Linked DNA regions of Macaca fascicularis. The protein of the gene in region 2 interacts with the protein of the main gene of each other region in a biochemical or structural test. Links are inferred from orthologs where the notes say so. Each region holds a gene or a part of one and is shown on either strand. Other genes may lie near its edges.

Region 1 (9,680 bases), on a different chromosome or scaffold from region 2:
AAAAAAAAGTAAAGTACTATAGCTTAACACTGTTTCAAAAAGCTAGAGAAAAAAAAAAAAAAGGTAGTAAAACTTATTTTGTGCTTTGGCTGAAATACGTATTACTTGGTCCAACTGGTTGACCAAAGGTTTACACAGGGGGAAAAAACCATTTATGCAGTAAAGTTTATCATCTCAGCAATCATATAGGTGAATCTCACTATTTTTAAATTTAGGTACAAAATATAAAACTCACATTAAGAAATACTAGAAAATCAAGGTAAGTTAACAAGTATGTAAAAAATAAATGAATGCAGGGAGAAATCTAATATAGTAATCAGCCTTACTGGGTAATAATATCCCATGAGCTGTCTGTTAAAAAAACGCAAAAAACACTGGACTATATGGAATGTTCTTTCTCATTAAGATAGAAAGCTACAAAAACCTTTTTGGCCAAAATAATAATTGAAATAAGTAGTCTGTTTAGAAGTGTAAGAACCTCAACAAAAGAGTTAAATTCACCTCGTGAGTTAACTCTTAACCTGGCTTGCTTGCCTCCTCATGTACATTTTGATCATTTTACTAAAACTTTTAAAAACTGGAGCTAAACAGGAAATGAGGACCTTTAAATAACAATTTCCTGTCACAAACTATTTTTCATTCAAATAAAAAGTTTTTCATTTAAAGAAATAAAGACAAGATGGCAGTTTCCCTTAGTTTAACAGGTCATGTAAGACCTAAAAGTAAAATCAGCTCACTAACTGGTTAATAAGGTCTACTTACATAATAAAATGCCTCAAATTGTATGTTAAAAAATGAAGAAGCTCTTTATGTGCTGATACAAAATTGCTAAGTTTAAGGCATGTTGAGTGGTGGGGGGAAAGCATGATATAGGAGAGTGTATACACCGTATGCTACCATTTGTACAAAAAGGGGGAGACAGGACATACATATTTGCTCGTGTTTGCATAAAACACCTCTTAAAGGACATATAAAAAATTGCTAACACTTAGGTAACAGGGCAAGAGAATGTAGGGCATTTTGCTGTATTATATATGTTTTGAATTACAGATCATCTGAATGAATTACTTATTCAAAAAAACCAAATTGGAAATATAAAAAATATACTCCTCACTTCACCAAAGGTGATCCCTTTTTCCTTTGACTACTTTCTTTTGACACATAATTTGTCTTAGTCACTGTGTCTCCAACAGTTCCTGAGGGTAGAGATAAGACAATGTAATTCATCTTTGGATTTGTTGTAGCTTCTGATCCACTGTATTACATATAGTAATAATAAATAATTTAAAAAGTAACAGGCCGGCTGGGCGTGGTGGCTCACACCTATAATCCTAGGCATTCAAGACCAGCCTGACTAACACGGTGAAACCCTGTCTCTAATAAAAATACAAAAATTAGCTGGGCGTGGTGGTGCATGCCTGTAGTTCCAGCTACTAGGGAGGCTGAGAAAGAAGAATCACTTGAATCCAGGAAGCAGAGGTTGCCATGAGCTGAGATTGTGTCACTGCACACCAGCCTGGGCAACAGAGCGAGACTCTGTCTCAAAAAAAATTAAAAGAAAAAAACCTTGTCAACACTTGAGCACTTGACACTTGTACAACGCCTGGAACTTAGTATGTATTACTTTATAGTTAATCCCCACAATTCTGAGGTAGTTATTCTACATTGATCAGAAAGGAAAGTGAGGTATCCAGAAGTTAAGATAACTTGCCTAAGGGCCCACAGGTAGGAAGTTAAAACAAAGCTTAAGGGACTAGCTATCATTAGTTGTAGCCCTAAGGTACTTTATGTTTATCTCACAATCTTATGAAATAAGTAGTAGTATTCTAATTTTACATATAAGGAAACTGAGGCTGAGAAAGATTAAGAAACTTCCTTTAGGACACAAAATTCCTTTAGAGTAGGTACAGGAGAGTAGTGGCAATGCTTGCATTCAGATGTAGGCCTGTGATTCCAAACCTCATGCTCTTTCAACTACATTCTCTGTCACAGTGAGTGCTAAATAAATATTTGAATTACCATAAACTGTTGTCTCAAGTGATACTGCCGTAGAGATGAGTTCACATATGGGTAAGAAAAAGAAAATTCCTGCATTTTTCTATCTTGACATCTTACTACACTCTTAAATTTAGATTTGAGCTCTATTCAATAAAGAAGCCATCAAAGTTACACCATATATCAAGATATTTGCAAAACTATGTCACAAGCTGGCTGTAAACAAGTTTATGTAACTGATATCTGATAAGCTATTTATGGAATAAATGAAATTATAAATTTTGGTAATATACTGTAAGCATTAGGTTAAAAATAAATAATTTTCCCTACTGTTATAAAAAGGAGAAAAAATTTAAAAACAGGTGAAGAAGACACATACTTGGTTTTACTATAACCCCATAACCTTACTGTACCCAAACAACAAAACCAAATGTCTTAGAATGAGAGAGAAATAAAGCTACTTCTCTATGAAGAAACCAAAACTTCTAATAATGAGACCTAATCAGGCATATGAGTTTCAGAAAGTAGAAAAAGAAAGGTGCCATTTTTATGGATCAGGTTTCTAAGTTTCTTCAGGCTCTTTATGTAGGGGGGGAAAAATTCATTCAAAACAGGTAACACTTAAGTTTTAAATTCCCAAAGAAGTGTTCTTTTAACATTCTTCAAGCAAATTCTGTCAAATAATTTATTAGCTTTCTAAATGCAGGTGTTCATGGGGAAAAAAAAAAAAAGATTCAAGTGGATCCAGCTGTAATTTTTACCGATGGCTGGAACAGTGGAGAAGTACAATTTAGTCACATGTTCCAGGTGAATGTTCACAATATTAATGAATATAAAAGTTTGAAGTTCCACCTGGAATTGCTAAGAATCACAAATTATGAATGTATAAATAATAAAATACGCTGGGCAAGGTGGCTCACACCTGTAATCCCAGCACTTTGGGAGGCCGAGGCAGGCGGATCACAAAGTCAGGAGTTCGAGACTAGTCTGGCCAACATGGTGAAACCCCGTCTCCACTAACACAAAAATTAGCCGGGTGTGGTGTCCTGCGCCTGTAATCCCAGCTACTCGGGAGGCTGGGGCCGGAGAATCTCTTGCACCCGGGAGGCGGAGCTCGCAGTGAGCCGAGACCGCCCCACTGCACTCTAGCTTGGGCAACAAGGGCGAAACTCCATCTCAAAAAAATAAATAAAAATTAAAATAAAAAATACAATTTAAAATATCTCTTGGGCAAGACTGAAGAAAGAACGTATCAGTAAACAATTTTTTTTTTTTTTTTGAGATGGAGTCTCGCTGTGGCCTGGCTGGAGGGCAGTGGGGCAATCTTGGCTCACTGCAATCTCCGCCTCCTCAGCTACCCTAGTAGCTGGGATTACAGGCATACGTCACCACACTCAGCTAATTTTTGTATTTTCAGTAGAGACGGGGTTTCACCATGTTGGCCAGGATGGTATCGATCTCTTGACCTCGTGATCTGCCTGCCTCGGCCTCCCAAAGTGCTGGGATTACAGGCGTGAGCCACCGCATTCGGCCATCAGCAAACAATTTTTTAAAAATCTCACACATGAAGAGTCGTATATTCTTTTTGTTTGTTTGTTTTTGAGACGGAGTCTTGCTCTGCTGCCCAGGCTGGAGTGCAGTGGCACAATCTCAATTCACTGCAACCCGAGCCTCCCGAGTAGTTGGGATTACAGGCGCGTACCACCACACCCAGCTAATTTTTGTATTTTTAGTAGAGATGGGGTTTCATCATGTTGGCCAGGCTGGTCTTGCACTCCTGACCTCAAGTGATCTGTCCTCCTCAGCCCCACAACATGCTGGGATTATAGGCCGTAGCCACCGCACCCGACTTACATTCTTAACAAACAAACAAACAAACAAACAAACAAAAATCTACTCAACTGATAGTGGCTTGCAGAACATCATAAAGGAAAAACGGTAACTCACCATTATCAATATAATTTTTTCAGTGTTTGAAAATAAAATCATTTTCCCAATCTTTATAGAAAACCTCCCTTTACCGCATCTTCTTAAGTTTCTTGTAAATGACAAATTGCTAATGTGGTCTTTTAAAGAGAAGCAATACAACAAAGCACATTTTGGAAAAGTGACTAGGATACAGAAAAATAAGACAGTGCTTCTGGTGCCAATCAGTATTTGTTCCTAACCAGAAGGTTTGTACGTGTCGATCACAATGCAATCATACAGTGACAGACAAGTATTTTTAAAACAAACTTGTTCGTCTTTTGCACCACCTAAAATAACTGTTCGGGGCTTTACTTTTAAATCAGGAAATGAGCCATAAATGTAAAATACTTCAATAGGCAGCAATCAAAAGTATCTTCTACTAAACCTTCAGAAGGCAGACGCCAGCTGAGGTTAGAATTATAACTTGGGATGATATTACAAACTTAAATAGGTCATACCGCATGTCCTTTAAAAATTCTTTTAATTTTTAATGTGTCAATGATTTTTCTGCTGTCCTCTTTTCCCAACAGGCGAAGAAAAAATACAGCTTGTGGCTTAAATTGTCAATCTCAAGACGGGGGTTACCTACTGCATGAGAGAGAAATAATGGATACTTTAAAGTCTATTTTTAGAAGAAGTATTAAATCTCTCATTAAAGTTCACGAAGAAATTCGTGGGAAATATGGTAGGGGGAGTGGGACAGGGTGAGGGGAGATCCAGATAACTCAAACGCGGTTGGCAAGGTTGCACCCCGCGAAATGATGTAAAACAAGAGTACATCGGCTGATAATTCGTTTCAACGAAGTGTTTCAAAATGATAGACCTCGAGTAATGATTACCTTATTGAAAAGGGTTAAAACCGAAACTGTTTTCAAACGCCAGCTTCCCTTTTATAAGATCCCAACAGTTTAAAAAGTTATTATGTTTTTCTTAGCACCCTCTTTCTCCCAAAAAGCATGCATTTCCATAACTACTGACTTAAAAAAAAAAAAAAAAAAAAAAAAAAGCAAGGGGGTGAAGGAGTAAAAAATTTCCCCCCAAAACACAAGCTCTCATCTCTCAACTAAGCAGCACAGGGCAGAAAGCAGCATTTCCTCAACGGTGTGGGAGCGGAGGGGAAAGGGCATGAATAAAATACAGCACGAGAGGAAACCTTGGGTTTCGAACTTTATTGCACAAAGAGTGGAGAGAAGAGTAGGTCAGACGTTGCAGCTCTTCCCCTTGCGAAGCGGGCATGGCAGACACCGAGGCCACTGGGAAGGCAGCAGGCACCTTCACCTCCTCTGCCCTCAACTGTCGCCTTCTTCCTCCTCCACCCCCCACCGGCACCTAGGCGGCGGCTGCCCCGGAGGCCAGGCCGGGTCGGGCCGGGGGCGAGGCGGGCGGCGGGGGCCGGACGAGCGAGCGGCGCGGGGGGCAGCGCCGGGCCGAGCGGGCGGCCTCCCCCGGGGCGGCTCCGGGCTCCCGGCTCCGCGCCCGGCCCGGCGGCGGCGGCGGGAACGCGGGCGCCAGCTCGCCGCGGCCGGCCGCCCGCACACACCCCCGGCCGCCGGCTCCCACCCCGCCCGCCGCCCGCCGCCCGCCGCCCCCCGCCATGAGCGCCGCCGCTGGCTGCAGGCAGAGTCGCTGCCGCCCCGGCCGCCGCTGGCTCCAGTCCGCCGCCATTATTCTTTGTTCGCTGCGAGCGGCGGCGATGTTGTGGGGCTCGGGCGGAGGCTCCATCTTTACCGCGGCCCCTCCTGCGAGGGGAAGGCCCCAAGCGCGGGTGTCCGGCGCCTCCCCGTCCCCCCTCCGTCCCCCCGGCTCTCTCTGGCTCCTGCCTCCTCCTCCTGCTCCTCTTACCGGTGGTACAAGCTCCTCCGTCACTGCTTTCGTTCACGGCCCGGATCTCGCTGGAGTTTTATTCTCTCCCCCACGTAACACACCGCGTCAAACTACACCTCCGCCGCGTCACTCACCAACACTCCGCTTCTCCCAGCCGCCCGGGCCACAGGCAGCAGCAGCCGCCGCCGACTGAGGAGCCGCAGCCAGGGAGCCAGCCAGCGCCGCCCAGTGCCGAGTGCGCAGCGGCCGCGCACGGAAACAGCCGAGCTGGGCCCGGAGCAGCTCGAGCGGCCCCGCCCCCGCGCTGGGGACGGAACTTGCCGAAGGCCTTCGGGTTTCTTCGCGCGAGGCGGACGGGTTCCGCCGGGAGAGGGAAGGCGAAGGCGGGCTGAGCCCGGCGCCGGGAGGAGTGGTCTAAACCCCAGCGCGGCGTTCGGATCGATAAAGCTGGCGGCGGAAATTTGAAGGAGGAAGCGGGGTTTGTGTGTGGCCCAGTAGGGGAATTCCTGAGGGGTGTCGGCAAGTTGGTGGAAACCCCCACGCAGGCCTGCCTCTGTGGCGGTGAGCGGCGGGCTAAGAAGGCGGCTGCGGCTGCCCCGGCTCTGGTCTTGACCGCCGCGAGCTCCGGGAACTTTCCGACGCCGCCGGGAGACGGGGGACCGCGGGAGCCGTACGGGTTGGGGAGGAAGGTCTGCTGCGCCTCTGCCAACGTCCCGGCGCCTGGGACCCGGGGACGTCGTGGGACCCCCGTGGGGACGGGTTTTCCTTTCTGAGACTCCGCAGAGAAACCTGGCGGCCGCCGGCGGAGCATGCTTTTCTGAGGGGCTTTGGCCCCGGTACTGTGGCACCTCCCGGGGCTCTGCCCGGGCCGTCGCTCTGCCCCGGCCGTGGCTGACGTCGACGGCCCTCGGAGGCCTCCGAGCCACAACCTGCCGGGACCGCTGGAAATATGCCCCATCCCACCTGCCCGCCCTTCTCCAGACAACATCCTGTGTGGCTTGCTTTCTTCAGCCTGTTTTCTACAGCAGGGATTCGCACCCACTGCACCCTAAACCCAGCAGGGGGACTTCCGTGGCTGGAAACTACTGAACTGCTCTCTCAGAGGTCGCCCAGGACCACACCACTAGGTCCCCATTCTCCCTGATAGTGAACTCTGCGCCCCTCTCCCTGGGGTTTCAAGTCTTTTTTTTTTTTTTTTTTTTGAGACGGAGTCTAGGTCTTGTCGCCCAGGCTGGAGTGCGGTGGCACGATCTCGGCTCACTGCAGCTTCTGCCTCAGCCTCCCAAGTAGCTGGGATAACAGGCACCTGCCACCACACTTGGCTGATTTTTGTGTTTTTAGTAGAGATGGGGTTTCATCATGTTGGCCAGGCTGGTCTGGAACTCCTGACCTCAGGTGATCCACCCGCCTTGGCCTCCTAAAGTGGTATGGTTACACGCGTAAGCCAGCGCGCCTGGCCTCAAGTCTTAATCATTATTTTTCTGTCCTTTAAAGGAGACGTGTCTTTAGGAAGTAGAGAGTGTTCAAATCTGGACTCCGCCCATTACTCACTTCTCTTGTAAGGAACTGTCCTTCCTGGTACTCCAGGTACCCTACTGTTTTCTCATAGACTTTGCCCTTAACAAGTCTCCTTTCCTTCTGTTACTCTCAACGTTTCCTTCTCTACTGGCTCTTTCTTACTAGTATTTAAACATGCTTAAGTCTCTCAATTCTTTAAAAAGATTTCTCTTCTCCCTAAATTGCTCTGCAACAACTCCAGCTGTCTCTTACCCCTGGACAGTCTCTCACATCCCACCTCCCAGCCCTCTCCAGTGTCCCCACTGCTCACCTGAAGTGGTTCTGAATTGTCCACAGACAAGCTTCATGTCTGTAAATGCAGCGGATCGTTTTCAGTCCTCATTTTACAAGCCCTCATCCCAGTATTTGACACGTTTGACCACACTCTCTTCCAAATACCGTCTTCCCTCTGGTCTTATGTCACAGGTTTCCTCTCTACCTGAGTTTTCTCTTTAACAACCAGCCTCTCCTTCTTGATCTACCTCTTACACATTGGAATCATGCTGAGCTGAATGAACCCTGGCCTTCTTACTGAGTCTCCCCATACACTTTCCTAGGTGGTCTTATGCTCTCCCAGTAGCATCAAATACCTTCTGTCAAAGACTCTTCAATCCATAACCCAAGCCTAGGTCTTGCTCTGGAACCCTATATTCATAGTTCCAACATACTGCCTTTGGTACACTTTTCATTTGGATGACTTAGGGCATTTCAAACTCAGCCTGTGTATCATAATTCCTTCGAAATGCTCCTCCCATAGTCCCTGGTTCAGTAAAGGGTATCTTAACATCTACTCAGTTCATGCAAGAAACCTAACACACCTCCAACACACAGCAGAATCACCTACATCTGTCTGTTTCCTGGAAAATTGGATTTGTGACCTCTCTGTTCCCATGACCATTTTTTCATTCCCATTTTAGTCTAAACCACTGTGGTCTCTTGCTTGAAGTCCCACAATAACCCATTCAGGTCCTCGAAAACTGCTCTTCCCTCATTCCAATACATTTGCCAAACTGCTGCCAGAGTAATTTTTTAAATATAAATCTGATCATTGACCTGCTTAAATTCCTCCAGTGGCCTCCCTTTGCTTACCACACATTGTCTAAGCTCCATTATCTTGTCTTTCTCTCCAGCCTTTCCATCTGTCCCCTTAGCTACCTGCACTCCTTGCATAGTATTTTAATTTTTTCCAGGCTCTCCTCTTTTTATGCCCTACTGTAGGCTCTCACTTCAGGGTATTTACGCATGCCCTTCCCTTCCCCTGGAATTCTTTTCTCTCACCCATTCCTCCTACCTAACTGTAATTTATCACTTTCTTTTCCAATTCCTACTTCTCATTATTTGGTTAGTGTCCATGTAATTGTGCAGGTAGGGACCACATCTCTCTTGTTCACTACCAGCTTTTCCTCTCCCTAGCAACAACACAATGTCTAGAATATAGTGGTACTTGTTAAATATTTATCGAATAAATAGTGAATTTCTGAGTGGTCCCGGGCAAAGTTTCTCAACATTTGAGTTCAAATCCTGGCTGTCAGTGAGTTCAGGTTTCCGTAATAAAGTACCATGTAGACTTGGTGGCTTATAAACAACAGAAATTTATTTCTCATAGCTCTGGAGGCCGGATGTCTGAAATCAGGCTGCCAACATGGTCAGGTTCTGGTGAAGGCCCTCTTGAGGGTTGTAAATGGCTGTTTTTTCTCTTTATCTCACAGTGCAGAAAGAGAGCAAGAGCTCTTGGGTTCCTTTTATAAGGCACTAATCCCATTCGCACGGGGTTTACCTCCCAAAGGCCTCATCTCCTAATACCATCACATTGAGGGTGAAGATTTCAAAATATGAATTTGCAGGAGATGGGGGTGGGGGTGAATTCATTGCACTGGCTCAGCCACTTATTAGCTAATGACTTTGGGCAAATTGTTCACTCTTGTGCCTCAGTTTTCCCATTTGTAAAACAAAGATGATAATAGCACTTACCTCATGGTGTTATTGTAATGATTACATGACATAATACCTGTGAAGTATACTTGGAACAATGTTTGTACTTGGAACAATGTTAGGAAAAATGTTGCCTATTACTAGCTTTTATTTGGATATCATCCTTGTGTCAAATACGTTTTCAAAATTGGGTTCGTCGGCCAGGTGCGGTGGCTCAAGCCTGTAATCCCAGCACTTTGGAAGGCTGAGACGGGCGGATCACAAGGTCAGGAGATTGAGACCATCCTGGCTAACATGGTGAAACCCCATCTCTACTAAAAAAATACAAAAAAAACTAGCTGGGCGTGGTGGCGGGCGCCTGTAGTTCCAGCTACTCGGGAGGCTGAGGCAGGAGAATGGCGTAA
Region 2 (9,183 bases):
TCTAGAACACTCCACACAGCAACCTGAATCTCAGGCTAACTGCTCCTCAGCCATCAGCTGTCCCCAATAGCAGATGCCATGAGCAGGCACCTAGCACCTAGTCTCTCACTGAATCAGGACAGGAGCCCTAGAGGCCCATGCTGGGAGTATGCCAGTTTGGAAGACCAGACACAGAGAGGGGAGGTGACTTGCCCAAGGTCACACAGCTGGCTGATGTCAGGCTGGTGTGTCACATGTAGTCAGCCTGGTCCCTTGGTCAGCTGTCAACTGCTTTGCTCACACAGCTGTGTCCTCACAGTCTATACCTGCCCTGCCCAGTTCAGTCCCCATTAGCCACAGGGGGATGCTGGGCCCCTGAAATGTGACTAGTTGACTGGGGAGCCAAATTCAAAAATTTTAAGTATCTTAAATATAAATTTAAAAACTGACACCAGTTGGGCATGGTGGCTCACGCCTGTAATCCCAGCACTTTGGGAGGCCCAGGCAGGTGAATCACCAGAGCCCAGGAGTTTGAGACTAGCCTGGGCAATGTAGCGAGACCCCATCTCTACAAACAACAACAACAACAACAACAACGACAACAACAACAACAACAAAAAGCAATTAGCTGGGCATGGCACGACTATGGTCCCAGCAGCTTCAGAGGCTGAGGTGGGAGGATCATTTGAGCCCAACTGCACTTCAGCCTGGGCAAGAGAGCAAGACCCTGTCTCAAAAACAAAACAACCAGCCTGGCCAAAATGGTGAAACTCTGTCTCTACTACAAATATTAAAAAATTAGCTGGGCGTGGTGGCGGATGCCTGTAATTCCAGCTACTCAGAAAGCTAAGGCATCGCTTGAACCCGGGAGGCGGAAGTTGTCGTGAGCTGAGATCACACCATTGTACTCCAGCCTGGGCAACAAGAGTGAAACTCCATCTCAAAAACAAAACAAAACAAAACAAAAATTAAACACTTGATGTAGGTACTGGTGACTTTCAGGCATAGTTGGAACAACTTGGGCATGTGAATCTGCTTTTTCTTTTTTCTTTTTTTTTTTGAGATGGAGTCTCGCTCTGTCGCCCAGGCTGGAGTGCAGTGGCGCGATCTCGGCTCACTGCAAACTCCACCACCTGGGTTCACGCCATTCTCCTGCCTTAGCCTCCCGAGTAGCTGGGACTACAGGCGCCCGCCACCACGCCCGGCTACCTTTTTTGTATTTTTAGTAGAGATGGGGTTTCACTGTGTTAGCCAGGATGGTCTCGATCTCCTGACCGCGTGATCTGCCTGCCTCGGCCTCCCAAAGTGCTGGGATTACAGGTGTAAACCACCGCGCCAGGCCTGAATTAGCTTTTTCAACTTCCCTCCTTTTTCTCCTCTTTCCAGGAAAAATTTACCCTCAGAGTTGAGACCTGTTGTAAGCATCCAATGGACACTGGATTTTAAAGACACTTCAGTACAGAAAAAAAGGAAATATTTCCGAAGTCATGAAGGACTGGGAAAAAAACAAAAGGAATGTAAAATGTTTCATTAATGATATTTTCACATTGATAATATATGGAAACGGTAATACTGTAGATATACTGGCTTAATTAAAACATATCATTAGGCTGGGCGCGGTGGCTCACATCTGTAATCTCAGCACTTTGGGAGGCCGAGGCAGGCAGACCACCTGAGGTCAGGAGTTTGAGACCAACCTGACCAACATGGTGAAACCCCGTCTCTACTAAAAATACAAAAATTAGCCAGGCGTGGTGGCGGCGTCTGCAATCTCAGCTACTTGGGAAGCTGAGGCAGGAGAATCACTTGAACCTGGGAGGTGGAGATTGCAGTGAGCTGAGATCACACCACTGGGCGACAAGAGTGAGACTCTGTCTCAAGAAAAAAAAAAAAACAAAAGCCCCAAACATGTCATTAAAATGAATTTCATGAATGTCATCTGCTTCTTTCACTTTCTTTTTTAATTACAATTTTTTTTTTAAATTTTTATTTATTTATTTTTTTGAGACGGAGTCTCGCTCTGTCGCCCAGGCTGAAGTGCAGTGGCCGGATCTCAGCTCACTGCAAGCTCCGCCTCCTGGGTTCACACCATTCTCCTGTCTCAGCCTCCCGAGTAGCTGGGACTACAGGCGCCCGCCACCTTGCCTGGCTAGTTTTTTTTTTTTGTATTTTTTAGTAGAGATGGGGTTTCACCGTGTTAGCCAGGATGGTCTCGATCTCCTGACCTCGTGTCCACCCGTCTCGGCCTCCCAAAGTGCTGGGATTACAGGCTTGAGCCACCGTGCCCAGCCACAATTTTTTTTTTTTGAGAGATGAGGTCTGGCTGTGTTGTCCAGGCTGGAGTTGAACTCCTAGGTCCAAGTGATCCTCCTGCCTCAGCCTCTCTGGTAGCTAGGACTATAGGCATGCGCCACCATGCTTGGCTCTTTTTACTGTTTATGATGGAGCAAAGAGAAAATTTAAAATCGATTCTGTGGCTTGGGTTACATTTCTGTTGGTTACATTGCTGCTTTATAGCAGTGCCCGGTATAAAGTTGGATCACAAAAATATTTACGGGAAGAAAGTCCACGTAAACACCGCTTTCCCCAAGAATGCTCCTGGCCTCCTCCCTTTGGACTGGTGTCTGACCCTGTGTCACAGTGCCCGGCTTTGAATGCATGGCCGGCCTGGAGAGGGAGCTTTGGGAAGGCAGCACAGGGCCCTTTCGACCCTTGGAGCTGGCACATTATGGGGGCTCGGGGAATAGTGGGTGAGCCTGGCGTGGAAGCTCATGTCCGTAATCCCTGCGCTTTGGGAGCCTGAAGTAGATCACTTGAGGCCAGGAGTTCAAGACCAGCCTGGGCAACACAGCAAGAGACCCCCTGCCTTAAAAAAAAAAAAAAAAAAAAAATTAGCCAGGCATGGTAGTGTGTGCTTGTAGTCCCAGCTACTCGGGAGGAGCTCAGGAGTTTGAGGCTACAGTGAGCTATGATCACGTCACTGCACTCCTGCTTGGGCAACAGAGCAGGATCCTGTCTCCCCGCAAAAAAGCAAGTGGCCAGGCGTGGTGGCTCACACCTATAATCCCAGCACTTTGGGAGGCTGAGGCAGGTGTATCACCTGAGGTCAGGAATTCGAGACCATCCTGGCCAACATGGTGAAAACTCATCTCTACTAAAATTACAAAAATTAGCTGGGTGTGGTGGCGGGTGCCTGTAATCCCAGCTACTCAGGATGCTGAGGCAGGAGAATCGCTTGAACCAGGGAGGTGGGGGTTGCAGTGAGCCGAGGTCGCGCCACTATACTCCAGCCTGAGCAACAAAGCAAGACTCTGACTGGAAAAAGCAAAGCAAGTGAGTGAACGGGTGGATAGGGCACTCCAAGGAGTGGGCACAGTCCAGGCAAAGGCGAGGACGGGCCACCTCACCTTCTGTTTGTCGAGGATCTTCATGGCATAGTGGTTCCCGGTCTCCTTGTGTTTCACCAGCATCACCCGCCCGAAGGAGCCCGTGCCGAGGGTCTTGATTCGTTCAAACTGATCCAAGTGGGCTGTGTTCTGTGGGCAGAGGGGTCGGCAGGCTCAGGGTGCATCCTCCCCGCGGCCTGCTGGGCTAAGGTCTGAGGCATCCCCTCTGCCACCGGCAGAGGGGGCCCCGGGGAGCACGTAGGGTCAGCGGGGTTGAGGACGGGGGCGGAAAATCAAGATGGCAGAGGGTGCATTCCTTAAGGCGGGTGGCAGGGGCCAGATCCGGCCCTGGCCTGGGGCCTGGGAGCTGCTGGCAGCTGTGCTAGGGGCAGGGGCGGGCTGTTGGAAGGGGTGGTGGGATGGGGGTGCCTGGCATTGGGCAGTCAGGTGTCTCCACACAGGAGCCCTCATGGGTACCTAGGGAGTGAATGGGGAGGATCTGAAGCCTTCCACGGGGTTTCTGAAATTCTAGCTGTGTTGCTGGGACGCAGCTGGGGGCTGGGGGTCACCAGCTCACCCCTCCCCGGACTCTGTACCCGGTGGCCTTACCTGAGCGGGACTTTCCCATTTTTTAAGAAAATCTTCTTTGGCTTTGGCTAAGAATTCTTTCACTGAAAGGGAGACAGGGGAGGGTTAGACAGAGACCTCCATTTCACCGGGGCGGGTTCAGGTGATTTCTGGGGAGATACTTGGTAGAAATTGGGGTGCAGTTCCCTCAACCTAGAGCCTGACCTTTTTATGGTGCCTCTGGGGGCCCTGGCCGGGCCGTGGCCTGGGCCTCCCTTGCTACAGAGAGGTGGGATCCAGCTGCTACTCCATCCAAAGTGGGGTACAGAGAGTCTCAGGGGTCACCCCCAGGGGAACGGAGGGAGGCACCCAGGCAGGCCAGCCCACCCCCACTCGCCCCAGTTCTGACCGACATTCCACGGCCAGGGCCGACGCCAGCCGAGGTATTTATAGCCTTGGGATTTGGCTGTTCCTCTGGCCCCTTCTCTGGGGAGGCTGGGCCTGGGATGGAGGCCTCGGGGGCTCGGGTAGCAGGCGCCCTTGGGGGGCTCAGCTGTCACCTTGGCCCCCAGCTGGCCCTGTTCCTCTCGTGTCGATCGCAAGGGCATTGCTCCAGAGCTGGTTCAAGGGAAGTCTCGCCCGATGCCCACTCCTCGGCCCCACGGCATCCCAAGGCGAACATCACCGCCTGGCTAACGTTGAAACTTCCCCGGCAGACCCTGTGCCGGCTGCTGTCTACACTGTCTCATCTGACTCGCTCGGCAACCTGCCTTGTATCCATTGTGTCCGTTTAACAACCCAGAAAACAGGCTTGAAAACAGTCATTCTTATCTCTGCTGAGACGCAGCCCAGCAAAGTGGCTAAGGGCCAGGACTTGGGGACAAGATCCAGTTCAGAGCCCAGCCTGGTCTCCGATGAACTCTGTGACTTTGGGCAACTGATCTCACCTCTCAAGGCCTCAGTTTTCCTCATCTGTAAAGTGGGGTGGTTTTTTGGGGGTTTTTTTTTTTTGAGACGGAGTCTCGCTCTGTCGCCCAGGCTGGAGTGCAGTGGCGCGATCTGGGCTCACTGCAAGCTCCGCCTCCTGGGTTCCTGCCATTCTCCTGCCTCAGCCTCCCAAGTAGCTGAGACTACAGGTGCCCGCCACCTCAACCGGCTAGTTTATTTTTTTGTATTTTTTTAAGTAGAGATGGGGTTTCACCGTGTTAGCCAGGATGGTCTCAATCTCCTGACCTCATGATCCGCCCGTCTCGGCCTCCCAAAGTGCTGGGATTACAGGCTTGAGCCACCGCACCCGGCCTGTGGGGTGGTTTTAAGGAATGAATGAGTTCATCTTGGCAAAGGGAGTTGAACAGTGGCCCATGTGATGTTAGCGCCAGATAAATGTCAGCTACTATTATTTTTTATTTATTTTTAAAATTATTATTATTATTATTATTATTATTATTATTGAGATGGAGTCCCACTCTATTGCCAGGCTGGAGTGCGGTGGCACGATCTCAGATCACTGCAACCTCCACCTCCCAGGTTCAGATGATTCTCCTGCCTCAGCCTCCTGAGTAGCTGGGATTACAGGCACCTGCTACCACGCCCAGCTAATTTTGGTATTTTTCGTAGAGACGGGTTTCACCATGTTGGCCAGGCTGGTCTTGAACTCCTGACCTCAGGTGACCTGCCTGCCTTGGCCTCCCAAAGTGCTGGGATTACAGGCATGAGTCACTGCACCCAGCCTATTATTTTTTAAATTGAGGTATAAAATATGAGGAGAAGGCCGAGGTGGGCGGATCACGAGGTCAGGAGATCGAGACCATCCTGGCTAACACGATGAAATCCCATCTCTACTAAAAATATTAGCCAGGTGTGGTGGCGGATGCCTGTAGTCCCAGCTACTCGGGAGGCTGAGGCAGGAGAATGGCGTGAACCCAGGAGGCGGAGCTTGCAGTGAACCGAGATCGCACCACTGCACTCCAGCCTGGGAGACAGAGCTAGACTCTGTCTCAAGAAAAAAAAGAAAAAAAAAAAAAAACATATGGGGAGAGAGGCTGGGTGCAGTGGCTGACGTCTATAATTCCAGCACTCTGGGAGGCTGAGGTGGGCGGATCATGAGGTCAGGAGTTCGAGACCAGCCTGGCCAACATGGCGAAACCCCATCTCTACTAAAAATAAAAAAATTAGGCCGGGCACGGTGGCTCACGCCTGTAATCCCAGAACTTTGGGAGGCCGAGGCGGGTGGATCACTTGAGGTCAGGAGTTCAAGACCAGCCTGGCCAACATGGTGAAACCCTGTTTCTACTAAAAGTACAAAAAAATTAGCCAAGCATGGTGGCTGCAGAATCGCTTAGACCCGGGAGGCAGAGGTTGCAGTGAGCTGAGATCATGCCATTGCACTGCAGCCTAGGCAAGACTAGAGCGAGACTCTGTCTCCAAAACAAAACAAAACAAAACAAAAAAATTAGCCGGGCATAGTGGTGTGTGCCTATAATCCTAGCTACTTGGGAGGCTGAGGCAGGAGAATTGCTTGAACCTGGGAGGCAGAGGTTACAGTGAGCCGAGATCATACCACTGCACTCCAGCCTGGGTGACAGAGCAAGACTCTGTCTAAGAAAAAAAAAAAAGAAAAGAAAAAATAAAATAAAATATGGGGAGAGACTGGCCATGGTGGCTCACGTCTATAATCCCAGCGCTTTGGGAGGCTGAGGTGGGCAGATCACTTGAGGTCAGGAGTTTGAAACCAGCCTGGCCAACATGGTGAAATCCTGTCTTTACTAAAAATACAAAACTTAGCTGGGCACGGTGGTGCATGCCTGTAATCCCAGCTATTTGGGAGGCTGGGGCAGGAAAATCTCTTGAACCTGGGAGGCAGAGGTTACAGTGAGCCGAGATCGCACCAGTGCACTCCAGCCTAGGCGACAGAGTGAGACTCTGTCTCAAAAAACAAAACAAAACAAAAAAAACAGGGAGAGCTGGGAATGGTGGCTCACACTTGTAATCCCAGTGCTTTGGAAGGCCGAGGTTGGAGGATTGCTTGAGGCCTGGAATTAGAGACCAGCCTGGCCAACATAGCAAGACCTCATCTCTACAAAAAGTAAAACAATTAAAAAATTAGCTGAGCATAGTAGCAGTCCATGCCCGCAGTTCCAGCTACGCAGGAGGCTGAGGCAGGAGGATCTCTTAAAACCCAGGAGATTGAGGTTGCAGTGAGCTGTGATCGCACCACTACACTCCAGCCTGAGCAAGAGTGAGACTCTGTCTCAAAAAAATAATAATACTCTGGGAGGCCGAGTTGGGAGGATTGCTTGAATTCAGGAGTTCAAGACCAGCCTGGACAACATCAAAACCCTCTACAGAAGGCCGGGCGCGGTGGCTCAAGCCTGTAATCCCAGCACTTTGGGAGGCCGAGACGGGCGGATCACAAGGTCAGGAGATCGAGACCATCCTGGCTAACCTGGTGAAACCCCGTCTCTACTAAAAAATACAAAAAACTAGCCGGGCGAGGTGGCGGGCGCCTGTAGTCCCAGCTACTCGGGAGGCTGAGGCAGGAGAATGGCGTAAACCCGGGAGGCGGAGCTTGCAGTGAGCCGAGATCTGGCCACTGCGCTCCAGCCTGGGCGACAGAGCAAGACTCTGTCTCAAAAAAAAAAAAAAAAAAAACCCTCTACAGAAAATAATAACATTAGCCAGGTGTGGTGTTGTGCACCTGTAGTCCCAGCTACTCAGGAGGCGGAGGTGGGAGGATTGTTCAAGCCTGGGAGGTAGAGGCTGCAGTGAGCCATGATTGAACCATTGCACTCCAGGCTGGGTGACAGAGTGAGGCCCTGTCTCAAAACAAGAAAAGTAATCATAAAAAAACCTCAAAAACAAATATAGGGGCATTGAGGGTTCAAATTTTTTTTTTTTTTGAGATGGAGTCTCGCTCTGTCTCCCAGGCTGGAGTGCAGTGGTGCGATCTCTGCTCACTGCAAGCTCCGTCGCCTCCCAGGTTCACGCCATTCTCCTGCCTCAGCCTCCCGAGAAGCTGGGACTACAGGCGCCCGCCACCATGCCCGACTAATTTTTTTTGTATTTTTAGTAGAGACGGGGTTTCACCGTGTTCACCAGGATGGTCACGATCTCCTGACCTCGTGATCTGCCCACCTCGGCCTCCCAAAGTGCTGGGATTACAGGCGTGAGCCACCGCGCCCGGTCGAACGCTCAAACCTTAAATGCACAGCTTGACAGATTCTTGCATTACGGACTTGTCCTTTAACCACCACCTAGGGCTACAAGACACCAGCCCCTCACTGAGTGTTTTCTATGCTTCGTTCTCACCCTCTGGGGTGGGAGCTGCTGTTATTCCCACTGTACAGATGAGAAGACTGATCAGGTCTGAGGTCACTGACCCGCCCCCACTTCCCATGAGATTAACTACTTCACTGCCGACTCAGCCATTGGTTTCAGCGCTGAGTCCAGGGCACCAGGGTGGCCAGTGTGGACAGAGCTGCCTTCAACCCCCTGATGTTCCTGAGTTTGCTACCACCCTGAGGGGCCCTGTACACTTGCCCTTTGGCATTGCTGGTTGTCTGCCTGCCAGGAATTCCACATGGCCTTTAGGGGGAGCCACCCCCCCTACCTGTCCCCAAAGCTCTCCCTCAGCATTCAGAGAGAAGAGCCCTCATGGGGCTAGAAAGTGGTAGATGGTGGCTGGGTGCGGTGGCTCACGCCTGTAATCCCAGCACTTTGGGAGGCCGAGACAGGCAGATCACCTGAGGTCGAGAGTTTGAGACCAGCTCGACCAACATGGAGAAATCTTGTCTCTACTAAAAATACAAAATTAGCTGGGTGTGGTGGCACATGCCTGTAATCCCAGCTGCTCGGGAGGCTGAGGCAGGAGAATTGCTTGAACTTGGGAGGCAGAGGTTGCGGTGAGCCGGGATCGCGCCATTGCACTCCAGCCTGGACAACAAGAGCGAAACTCTGTCTCAAAAAAAAAAAAAAAAGAAAAAAGAAAGTGCTAGATGGGGGATAGAGAGAGACCGTGGCCAAGAAGGCCCCAAAAAGAATGACCCCGCCAAGAGGGGACAGGCAATGAGTGGCCAGGAGTCCTAGATGGGTGCCTGGCTGGGCCACCAACTAGCGCAGGGGCCTGAGCCTGGGGGCTGCACCAAATCCAACGCTTTCACTAGCAGAACCTTTGTTTGTGTGTTTTGTTTTGTTTTGAGATGGGGTCTTGCTATGTTGCCCAGGCTGGTCTCTAACTTCTGGCCTCAATGGA
Region 3 (9,951 bases), on a different chromosome or scaffold from region 2:
CGAGGTCAGGAGTTCGAGACCAGCCTGGTCAACATGGTGAAACCCTGTCTCTACTAAAAATACAAAAATTAGCTGGGCATGGTGGCACATGCCTGTAATCCCAGCAAGACTCCATTCCAAAAAAAAAAAAAAAAAAAAAAAAAAAGCCACCTCTAGCCCACCCTCTAGGGTGGCTTCCAGATCCTTCCCCACCCTTCAGTGTTTCTTCTCTATTAAAAGCAACTTCATCTTACTGGATGCTCAAGCCAGATTCCTTGGTGTTGGCTGGGCTCTGTGGCTCATGCCTGTAATCCCAGCACTTTGGGAGGCCAAGATCACTTGGGGCCAGGAGTTCAAGACCAGCCTGGCCAACATAGCAAGACCTTATCTCTAAAATTAATAATAATTTATTTTATTTTTATTTATTTTTTGTTTTTTGAGATGGAATCTTGCTCTGTCACCCAGGCTGGAGTGCAGTGGCACAATTTCAGCTCACTGCAACCTCCACCTCCTGGGTTCAAGTGATTCTCCTGCCTCAGCCTTCCAGGTAGCTGGGATTACAGTTGTCCACCACCACATCTGGCTAATTTGTGTTTTTGTAGTAGAGGCAGGGTTTCACCAAGTTGGCCAGGCTCTCTTGAACTCCTGAACTCAAGTGATCTGCCCGCCTCGGCCTCCCGACGTGCTGGGATTACAGGCATGAGCCACCGCGCCCAGCCAACAATAATTTTTTTTTTTTGAGACAGTCTCGCTCTGTCTCAGGCTGGAGGGCAGTGGTGTGATCTCGGCTCACTGCAAACTCCGCCTCCCGGGTTCCCGCCATTCTCCTGCCTCAGGCTCCCAAGTAACTGGGACTATAGGCGCCCACCACCACGCCCGGCTAATTTTTTTTTTGTATTTTTAGTAGAGACAGGGTTTCACCATGTTAGCCAGAATGGTCTCGATCTCCTGACCTCGTGATCCGCCCGCCTGGGCCTCCCAAAGTGCTTGGATTACAGGTGTGAGCCACCGCTCCCAGCCTAATAATTTTTTTAAAATTCCTTGGCATCATCCTGGTTCCTCTCTTTCCCTCGCACCCCACATCCAGTCCATCAGCAGATCCTGCCAGTTCTGCTTTAAAAATAAATCCAGGGCCGGGCGCGGTGGCTCAAGCCTGTAATCCCAGCACTTTGGGAGGCCAAGACGGGCGGATCACAAGGTCAGGAGATTGAGACCATCCTGGCTAACACGGTGAAACCCCGTCTCTACTAAAAAATACAAAAAAACCTAGCCGGGCGAGGTGGCGGGCGTCTGTAGTCCCAGCTACTAGGGAGGCTGAGGCAGGAGAATGGCGTGAACCCGGGAGGCGGAGCTTGCAGTGAGCTGAGATGCGGCCACTGCACTCCAGTCTGGGCGACAAAGCGAGACTCTGTCTCAACAAAAAAATAAAAATAAATAAATAAATAAATAAATAGGCCGGGCGCGGTGGCTCAAGCCTGTAATCCCAGCACTTTGGGAGGCCGAGGCGGGCGGATCACGAGGTCAGAAGATCGAGACCATCCTGGCTGACACGGTGAAACCCCGTCTCTACTAAAAAAAAAAAAATACAAAAAACTAGCCGGGCGAGGTGGCGGGCGCCTGTAGTCCCAGCTACTGGGGAGGCTGAGGCAAGAGAATGGCGTGAACCCGGGAGGCGGAGCTTGCAGTGAGCTGAGATCCGGCCACTGCACTCCAGCCTGGGCGGCAGAGCGAGACTCCATCTCAAAAAAAAAAAATAAATAAATAAATAAATAAATCCAGAGGCCAGCTACTTCTCACCACCTCCCTGGTGACTCTCTGAATGTCTAAATCTGACCATGCTGCCTCTGTTCAAAGCCTTTCCAGGTTTTCACCCAAAGGCAAAGTCAGAGTCCTTACAATGACCTCCACCTTTAGGTCTCCAAAGACCCTTTCCTAACCCCCTCCTCTAGGCCCACCCTAGCTGGGAGCAGGTGTTGCCCTCAGGGCCTTAGCACCTGCCCTTCCCTCTGCCTGGAACTCTCTTCCCATCATCCCTGTGGCCTTGGTTCCAGTGGTGCTTCTCACCAAGTGAGTGTTGACCACCTCTGCTACCATCACTCCCCCAGCCCCGTGACTCTGGATTCTCTTAACTCTTTTTTTTTTTTTTTTTTTGAGACGGAGTCTCACTCTGTTGCCAGGCTGGAGTGCAGTGGTGTGATCTTGGCTCACTGCAACCTCCGCCTCCCGGGTTCAAGTGATTCTCCTGCCTCAGCCTCCTGAGTAGCTGGGACTATAGGTGCATGCCACCATGCTTGGCTAATTTTTGTATTTTTAGTAGAGATGGGGTTTCACCATGTTGGCCAGGCTGGTCTCCATGTCTTGACCTTGTGATCCGCTCGCCTCAGCCTCCCAAAGTGTTGAAATTACAGGTGTAAGCCTCCGCGCCCAGCTTCTCTTAACTCTTACATGCTGCCCCCATACAAATCTTCTCATCCATGATAGGATGCACTTTTGTGCTTGTTTGCTTATGGACCCACCACGTCACTAGAATGTAAGCTCCACGAGGGCAAGGATTCCTGATGCTTGGGTTCACCGAGGTCCCCCTAGCAACTGGAACAACCTGTGTCACATGGTGAACACTCACTCTGAGACACAAGTCAATGCTGAGTGTGTGTGGCGGGGGGCAGAAAGCAGGGGGAGTTTGTGAGCAGAAAAACAGCCAAGTGCAAGCTCAGAAAGTTAAAGAAAGCTGTGGAGGCCGAGCATGGTGGCTCACGCCAGTAATCCCAACACTCTGGGAGGCCAAGATGAGAGGATCTCTTGGGCCCAGGAATTCGAGACCAGGCTGGGCAACAAAGCAAGACCCCACCTCTACAAAAAATAAAAAATGAGCTGGTGTGGCAGCATGTACCTGTGGTCCCAGCTGTTCTGGAGGCTGAGGCAGGAGGATTGTTTGAGCCCAGGAGTTTGAGACCTGCCTGGGCAACAAAAGGAGACCCGCCCCTGCCCTCGTCTCTAATGAAAACATGAAAAATGTCGGGCGTGGTGGCTCACGCCTGTAATTCCAACACCTTGGGAGGCCGAGGCGGGCGGATCACAAGGTCAGGAGATAGAGACCACCCTGGCTAACATGGTGAAACCCTATGTCTACTAAAAATACAAAAAATTAGCCGGGCATGGTGACACATGCCTGTAGTCCCAGCTACCTGAAAGACTGAGGCAGGAGAATTGCTGGAACCCAGGAGGCGGAGGTTGCAGTGAGCTGAGATTGCACCACTGCACTCCAGCCTGGGTGGCAGAGTGAGACTCTGTCTCAGAAAAAAAAAAAAAAAAGAAAAAGTTAAAAATAAATTAACTAGGTGTAGTCCACACACCTGTATTCCCAGTTACTTGGGAGGGTAAGGTGGGAGGATCGCTTAAGCCCAGAAGTTCTAGGCTGCAGTGAGCTGAGGTCACACCTCTGTACTCCACACCTCTGTACTCCCTCCTAGGTGATAGAGCGAGACCCTGTCTCAAAACAAACAAAACAACAACAACAAAAAAAGAAAGCAAGCTATGGGATCCAATCTGAGAGAACTGAGTGTGTGTGTTTGTGCGTAAGAGAGGGAGGGGAAGGAGGCCTCTTAAGCCTTCTTAATCCTGAAAATGGGAAGGAGGTCGTTTAAGCTTCAGTGCCAGAGTGACATGACCTAGTTTTCTATTTTTAGAGATGGGGTCTGGCTATGTTGCCCAGGTTGGTCTTGAATTCCTGGGCTCAAGCCAGCCTCCTGAGCTGCTGGGACTACAGACATGGGCCACCCCACCTGGCTTGACCTGGTTTTTGTGTTCAGAAGATATATGTTGTTGTTCCAGGTGCCAAGGCCAGTGCTGGGCACAGGGGTGGTGGAGCCTACTGAGAAATGGACACTGAACCCCAGTGTCTATCCTTCCATCTTGGAGCCTGTGCTTCCCACCCCACACAGCCCTGCTGTCTGGGAGGACCGTCTGCCCCTTGAGGTCACCTGCCCCTGGCCTTTGTGCCAGGACAGGCCTGCTGTGGGCGCAAGCCTCGGGGCAAGAAAGAACACATCTGGGAGCTGGAAGGCCCAATCCCAGGGAAAGCATGTAGCCTGGGGCAGGGCACCAAGGAGTCTTCCAGCCCCCACCTTCTAAGGAAAGAAATGCCAGGCAGGTATGGCCTTAGGTAGGCCCCTTTTCCTTTTCGGATCACTGCCTGCCTGCCTGTCACTAATTTCTGTCCTGGCCCCACACTGAGAGCTGCCATATATATATATACATATTTTAAGAGATGGAGTCTCCCTAAGTCACCCAGGCTGGCTTTGAACTTCTGGGCTCAAGCGATCCTCCTGCGTTGGCCTCCCAAAGTGCTGGGATTACAGGTGTGATCCGTCATGCCTGGCAGCTACCATTTTTTAGCTTTAATGTGCACCAGCTCTGTAATCAAGTGCATCCTATATGTTCCTGCTAATTAACTCAACAGTCCTACAATGGTGGTTATTAATTGCTCTGTTTTACAAAAGAGGAAACTGGGGCTCTGAGAGGTTAGGGACCGACCCAAAGCCTTCAGTGCCCGTGGATACAACTGGGATGCAGGGAGCCAGTGGGCTGGGGGTGAGGTGACCCGGCAGGTGGAGGTGGTGGGGTACTTACCTCCATGATGGCTGCTGCTGGTTGGCTGCTCCTGCTGGTGACTGGCGTCCCACAGGAGGCCTGGGGCCTGGCGATGATGCTTGCCGGAGTCTGAGGGCCTGTTCCCCGCGGGGCTGGGGCCCAGGCCCCTCTCTGCAGAGCTGGAGTCTTCCTGCTCACTAGGCTCAAACTCTGGGATCTGGAACATGCTCTGGGCTATGAGGACAAGATGTTAGGTAGTCAAGGCACAGCTGGGGCCAACGGTGGCCCTGGAAGGCAGAGGCAGGTACCCTTGGCTCCCTCTCCCACCCTAGGGCCCCCAGGCCCGCCAGGCCTCCCGGGCCCTCATTTGTCTGCTGGGTCTGGCCTGGCAGGGAGCTGATGCTGTCGGCTCAGGGCCTCAATCTCCCCTTAGAACCCTGGTGGACCCAGGCCCCTACCCAGGCCCCGCCCCGCCCGTGGTGACGGCGCACAGGTCTCACCCCAAGCCCGATCTCGAGGCCCCTGACCCGGGCCTGCCGCCTCCCTCCTGCACCCCGGGCTCCCGGCCCTAGTTGCTTGGGCAACGGGAACTGTCAGCGACCTGGCCCAATCACCTCTCGGAACGTCACTCGGGTAGGTCCAGAGGCGGGGTCAACCCGGCCCGGCCCCGCCTCCCCGCCGGACCTACGGCTACTCGCCCGCAGCCTTTTTTCTCCCTCCTGCAGCCCTGGTGCTCATATCCTCGCTGCCTCACACCTTGGACGTGTGTGGGAGCAGGAGAGGGATTCTCTGGGGTCCCCATTTGGAACCTGGAGACCCACTTCTGCCAACAAGTCCTTCAGCCCCTCTGGACCTTAGTTTCCCCCCAGTGAAGTGGGGATAGTGACAGCTCCCCCAGGAGCCAGTGAAAACTTTGTGAAGGGAGTGATTACTGCGGGCGAAGGCGCTTGGCACAGCCACAACTGAAGCTCAGCCGTCGGATGCGATTATTGTTGCTATTGTTACCGCTCCGCCTGGACTGGGTGCCCGGTCGGAAAGTCCCGCTCCCCGCTCCTCCTCCCAGGCGTGGAAGCTTCGCGCCGCCCGCCTCGGGGGACACCTCCCGCGCCACCTCGGGGGCACTGGAGATAAGGAGAGGAACCTCCTCCCTGGCTGGGATGGCTGCCCGGGCGCGGGAGGAGGGCCGGGGACCCGGTGAGGGTGGACCGTAGGATCCGTGGGGGCTTCAGGCCTGGCAGGCGGCCGGCCAGGTGAGCAGGGCCGCGGGCGCGCCGGGGCGGGGGGCGGGCCCGCGCTGGGGATTCGGGGCTCCGCGGGTTCAGGCCCGGGGGCGGGGCCCGGGGGCCATCTTGGCTATGGGCGGAAGTTTTCTTCAGAGGCCGAGGGACGGGAATCCGTTGCCGCCCCCGGCTGGGTGGCACGACCCCGATTTGGGTATAGGAGAGAGGAGCGTGGGAATTGGCGGCCCCCCATACAAGTTAAGGCGGACCGCCCAGGCACAGCCCACCCGGGGACCCCCTGGATGCGGCACGGCCCCCGCAATTCGGCCGCCCTCCAGCCGCCTCCCGTAACCCCGGGCGCCCGCCAGCGGCGCAGCTCGCGCCAATTCTCGTACGGTTTCACGCCGGGTGCGGCGCTGGACTGCGGAGCCGGTCGGGCCCCTGCGCAATTTGCGTAGCGAACAGCGCCCGCGCAGGCGCAGGAGGGGGCGGAGCAGCGGGAGCCGGGGAGCCGGAGCCCCGGGTCCCCACGACCTGAGCCGGCTCTCCCATCAGCGGCCTGAGGACCTGGCATCCGCCTCCTCCCGCCCCTTGAGGCTGGAGAGTGGACGCGGTGGGGGGGGGTTGGGCGGGGGGCAGCTTTCGAGAATTACAAGGACAGAAGGCAGAGGCCCTCCCCATCCGCATTACTGGAGGAGAGCCTCCCCCAGCTTGGGGAGGGGGAGAGCGGGGCATTGGGCGCCCCCTGCAGCGGCCGCTGCCCTGACCCGACGGGCATCGGCTGGCTCTCCCCCTCCAGCCAGGACGACACGAGCGACCGAGGCCAGGGACTCCGCTCCTTGGGCCTCTGCATCCCCCCATCCCTGACTCTGGGGTAGGCCCAGGGAGGAGACACCCCCAACCCCCACCCGGTCTGCCCTGGAGAGAAGAGACTGCCCTTCCATGCCCCTGAGTGAGGGGCCTGGGGCCCAGGCTGCCCGTGTTCCCCAAGGGCAAGGGTCTCTCTGTTGAGGAGGAGGGGCCTGTCAGCCACAACTTCTTTCCTCCTCAGCGCCCCATCTCCCTCTCTGCACCCTGCAATTCCCACCCCTCCGTATTTATTACCCTGGCCCTGCCGACAGCCCCTCCTTCTCTGTCTCCGGGATTCAGGCCTCCCTCCCTGACATGGAGAGTAACCTGTCTGGCCTGGTGCCTGCTGCCGGGCTGGTGCCTGCGCTGCCACCTGCTGTGACCCTGGGGCTGACGGCTGCCTACACCACCCTGTATGCCCTGCTCTTCTTCTCCGTCTATGCCCAGCTCTGGCTGGTGCTTCTGTATGGGCACAAGCGTCTCAGCTATCAGACGGTGTTCCTGGCCCTCTGTCTGCTCTGGGCTGCCTTGCGTACCACTCTCTTCTCCTTCTACTTCCGAGATACTCCCCGCGCCAACCGCCTGGGGCCCTTGCCCTTCTGGCTTCTCTACTGCTGCCCCGTCTGCCTGCAGTTCTTCACCTTGACGCTTATGAACCTCTACTTTGCCCAGGTAACCAACTGTGGTCCCGGGTGGGGGGTGGGAGGTGGCAAGCCTTAAGGACCCACGGGAGTGAAGGGCATCTCTGCTCCTAGGTGGTGTTCAAGGCCAAGGCGAAGCGTCGGCCGGAGATGAGCCGAGGCTTGTAAGTACTCGGGACACTGGTGGGCTCAACCTCCAGGTCAGGGGCAGGGGACAGTCCCATGTAGATCCCTTCCCACCTCTCAGGGCTGAGACAAAGACAACCCAGGGAATGTCTGTGGAAGAGCTTGGAAAAGTTAAAGCACCTGGCGCAGATGGCTCAGCAGAGGCGTTGCAGATCTGCAAGGCACAAGAATAGGAATGGTTGTGGTAGTGTGAGGGAGAGGAACCCAGTGGCATCCACCATGGAGGGTGAGCTGGAGGCTCCAGTCCATGGAAGCACCAAAGCCATATGCACTCCTGGGTGACCTGGGGCCGCAATGCCCTCGTCATTTGTACAGTGTCTTACGGTTTATAAAGAGCTTTCCCAGCCATCTTTCATTTGTACAATTTCCCTGAGAGGCTACTCTCCTCCCTTGAGAGATGAAGAAACTGAGGCCCAGCCAGGTAAGGCATCAGGATCAAGGTCGCAGAGCTGGGGCTCAGACGGAGACTTCTGACTCCAGTTGGTGCCCCTTCCGAGGTACCATGGCTGTCAGTCACCTTCTGACCTCTTTGAGCCTCAGTTTCTCCATCTATAAGAATGGAGGAACAGGGCTCAGACTGGATGCCCTGAGTTCTGTGGACACTGGGGTTTCCTGCAGGAGGTGGGGCAGGTGGTGAGTGCTGAGGGCTGTTGAGGGCCCGGGCTGACTGTGCTGTGGCTGCAGGCTGGCTGTCCGAGGGGCCTTTGTGGGGGCCTCGCTGCTCTTTCTGCTGGTGAACGTGCTGTGTGCTGTGCTCTCCCATCGGCGCCGGGCACAGCCCTGGGCCCTGCTGCTTGTCCGCGTCCTGGTGAGCGACTCCCTGTTCGTCATCTGTGCGCTGTCTCTTGCTGCCTGCCTCTGCCTCGTCGCCAGGCGGGCCCCCTCCACTAGCATCTACCTGGAGGCCAAGGTAGGGCCGCAGCACTGATGCCCAGGTGTCCTTTGGGATCTCTGGGCAGCGGTTCTCAGGGTGTAGAGGAAGCTGGGAGCCTTCTCTCCCTGAGGGTCCTCTGTTGTTACCTGTGCCAGGGGACCAGTGTGTGCCAGGCGGCCGCGATGGGTGGAGCCATGGTCCTGCTCTATGCCAGCCGGGCCTGCTACAACCTGACAGCACTGGCCTTGGCCCCCCAGAGCCGACTGGACACCTTCGATTACGACTGGTACAATGTGTCTGATCAGGTGGGCATACGCATGTCTGCCACCTCCTTAGTAGCCGTGGCACCTTGGCCCCAGCTGGCCTGGGCCCTGTCCCACTGCCCCCTTGGCGTGACTGCAGACTGGCACCAGCCCCTGCCTTCCCACAGGCGGACCTGGTAAATGACCTGGGGAACAAAGGCTACCTGGTATTTGGCCTCATCCTCTTCGTGTGGGAGCTGCTGCCCACCACCCTGCTGGTGGGCTTCTTCCGGGTACACCGGCCCCCACAGGACCTGGTAAGGGTCTGCACCCTCCCCTGTGGGCCCAGTGGAGAGGGGCAGATGCTGGGAATCCTGGGTTGGCATCTGGGGATGGGCAGGGAGAACAGTGTGGGACAGGAGTAAGTATCGATGATGGCTTCCTTCTCCAGAGCACCAGCCACATCCTCAATGGGCAGGTCTTTGCCTCCCGGTCCTACTTCTTTGACCGGGCTGGGCACTGTGAAGATGAGGGCTGCTCCTGGGAGCACAGCCGGGGTGAGAGCACCAGGTAGGAGCCATGGCACTGCCTCAGTACCCCTGCCCCCACCACCCACTTGGCTCCATCGAGCTATGGGGGACTGAGAGAGCCGGGTCTTGCCCTTCCACCCCTGCCATGGCCTTTGCTTCCCCATCTGTACTAGGTGAGGTCCCCTGGGTTCCTATGGCTAAAGCCTCCATCCCTTGCCTAGAGATGTACTTTGCCCTGGGCCCCGAAGGTCTAGGTCACAGGGGTTCTGTTCTAAGCCTCTGTTCCTCCTGCAGCTCTTGTGACTGTGGCCCTGGTCACTGTCCTGAGACTGACCCTGTTTCTCTGCTGCAGTATGTCAGGCAGTCTAGGCTCTGGGAGCTGGTATGGCGCCATCGGGCGTGAGCCGGGCTGGTATGGGGGCAGCCAGACGAAGACCACTCCTCTGCTCTTCTCCCAGGTGCCAGGACCAGGTGGCCACCACCACAGTCTCTACTCCACCCCACAGACGTGATCCCCTTCCCTCCCCCACAGAATACCCAGGCCCCAGTCCCCGTCACCCTAAGCCCCTGTGCCAAGTTTGCCACTTCTTGCCCAGGATCCTGGGGGTCGTGGCTGCCCCCTCCTCTGGCCAGCTCCTTGCTGCTCCTGTCATAGTGAGCTTGTGCCGTCCCCCTAGGATGGGGGCGTGGCCCTGGCTGCCAGATGCCCACAGCACCCTGGCATGACCTGCCACCTCCGCTTCCACACCGGAGTCAGCTACCTCTCCTGTGCCTGCCACTCAATAAACAGTGTCTGCGCCCCACAGTTGTTCACCTGTCTATCATCTGCCTTGTGTTCCT

The links.
Region 1: the proteins of PRKACA (region 2) and CREB1 form a complex in vitro, tested with the Homo sapiens proteins (2 studies listed by BioGRID, with this or other methods). The link is inferred for Macaca fascicularis from reciprocal best matches to the Homo sapiens genes PRKACA and CREB1.
Region 3: the proteins of PRKACA (region 2) and BAD form a complex in vitro, tested with the Homo sapiens proteins (2 studies listed by BioGRID, with this or other methods). The link is inferred for Macaca fascicularis from reciprocal best matches to the Homo sapiens genes PRKACA and BAD.

The regions. Positions count from the first base shown.
Region 1 is NC_088386.1:103,473,060-103,482,739, reverse strand, and holds the start of CREB1 (cyclic AMP-responsive element-binding protein 1), read right to left. Parts: upstream 5,993-9,680; 5' UTR 5,806-5,992; intron 1-5,805.
Region 2 is NC_088393.1:14,522,904-14,532,086, forward strand, and holds part of PRKACA (cAMP-dependent protein kinase catalytic subunit alpha), read right to left. Parts: intron 4,037-9,183; coding exon 3,975-4,036; intron 3,516-3,974; coding exon 3,387-3,515; intron 1-3,386.
Region 3 is NC_088388.1:10,105,918-10,115,868, reverse strand, and holds the start of BAD (bcl2-associated agonist of cell death), read right to left. Parts: upstream 5,861-9,951; 5' UTR 5,502-5,860; exon of another isoform or gene 5,239-5,501; intron 5,134-5,238; exon of another isoform or gene 5,028-5,133; intron 4,804-5,027; 5' UTR 4,796-4,803; coding exon 4,609-4,795; intron 1-4,608. Other genes in the region: integral membrane protein GPR137, read left to right, coding at 6,954-7,310, 7,394-7,443, 8,150-8,375, 8,495-8,644, 8,770-8,898, 9,033-9,151, 9,570-9,837. UniProt on the Homo sapiens protein: Promotes cell death. Successfully competes for the binding to Bcl-X(L), Bcl-2 and Bcl-W, thereby affecting the level of heterodimerization of these proteins with BAX. Can reverse the death repressor activity of Bcl-X(L), but not that of Bcl-2.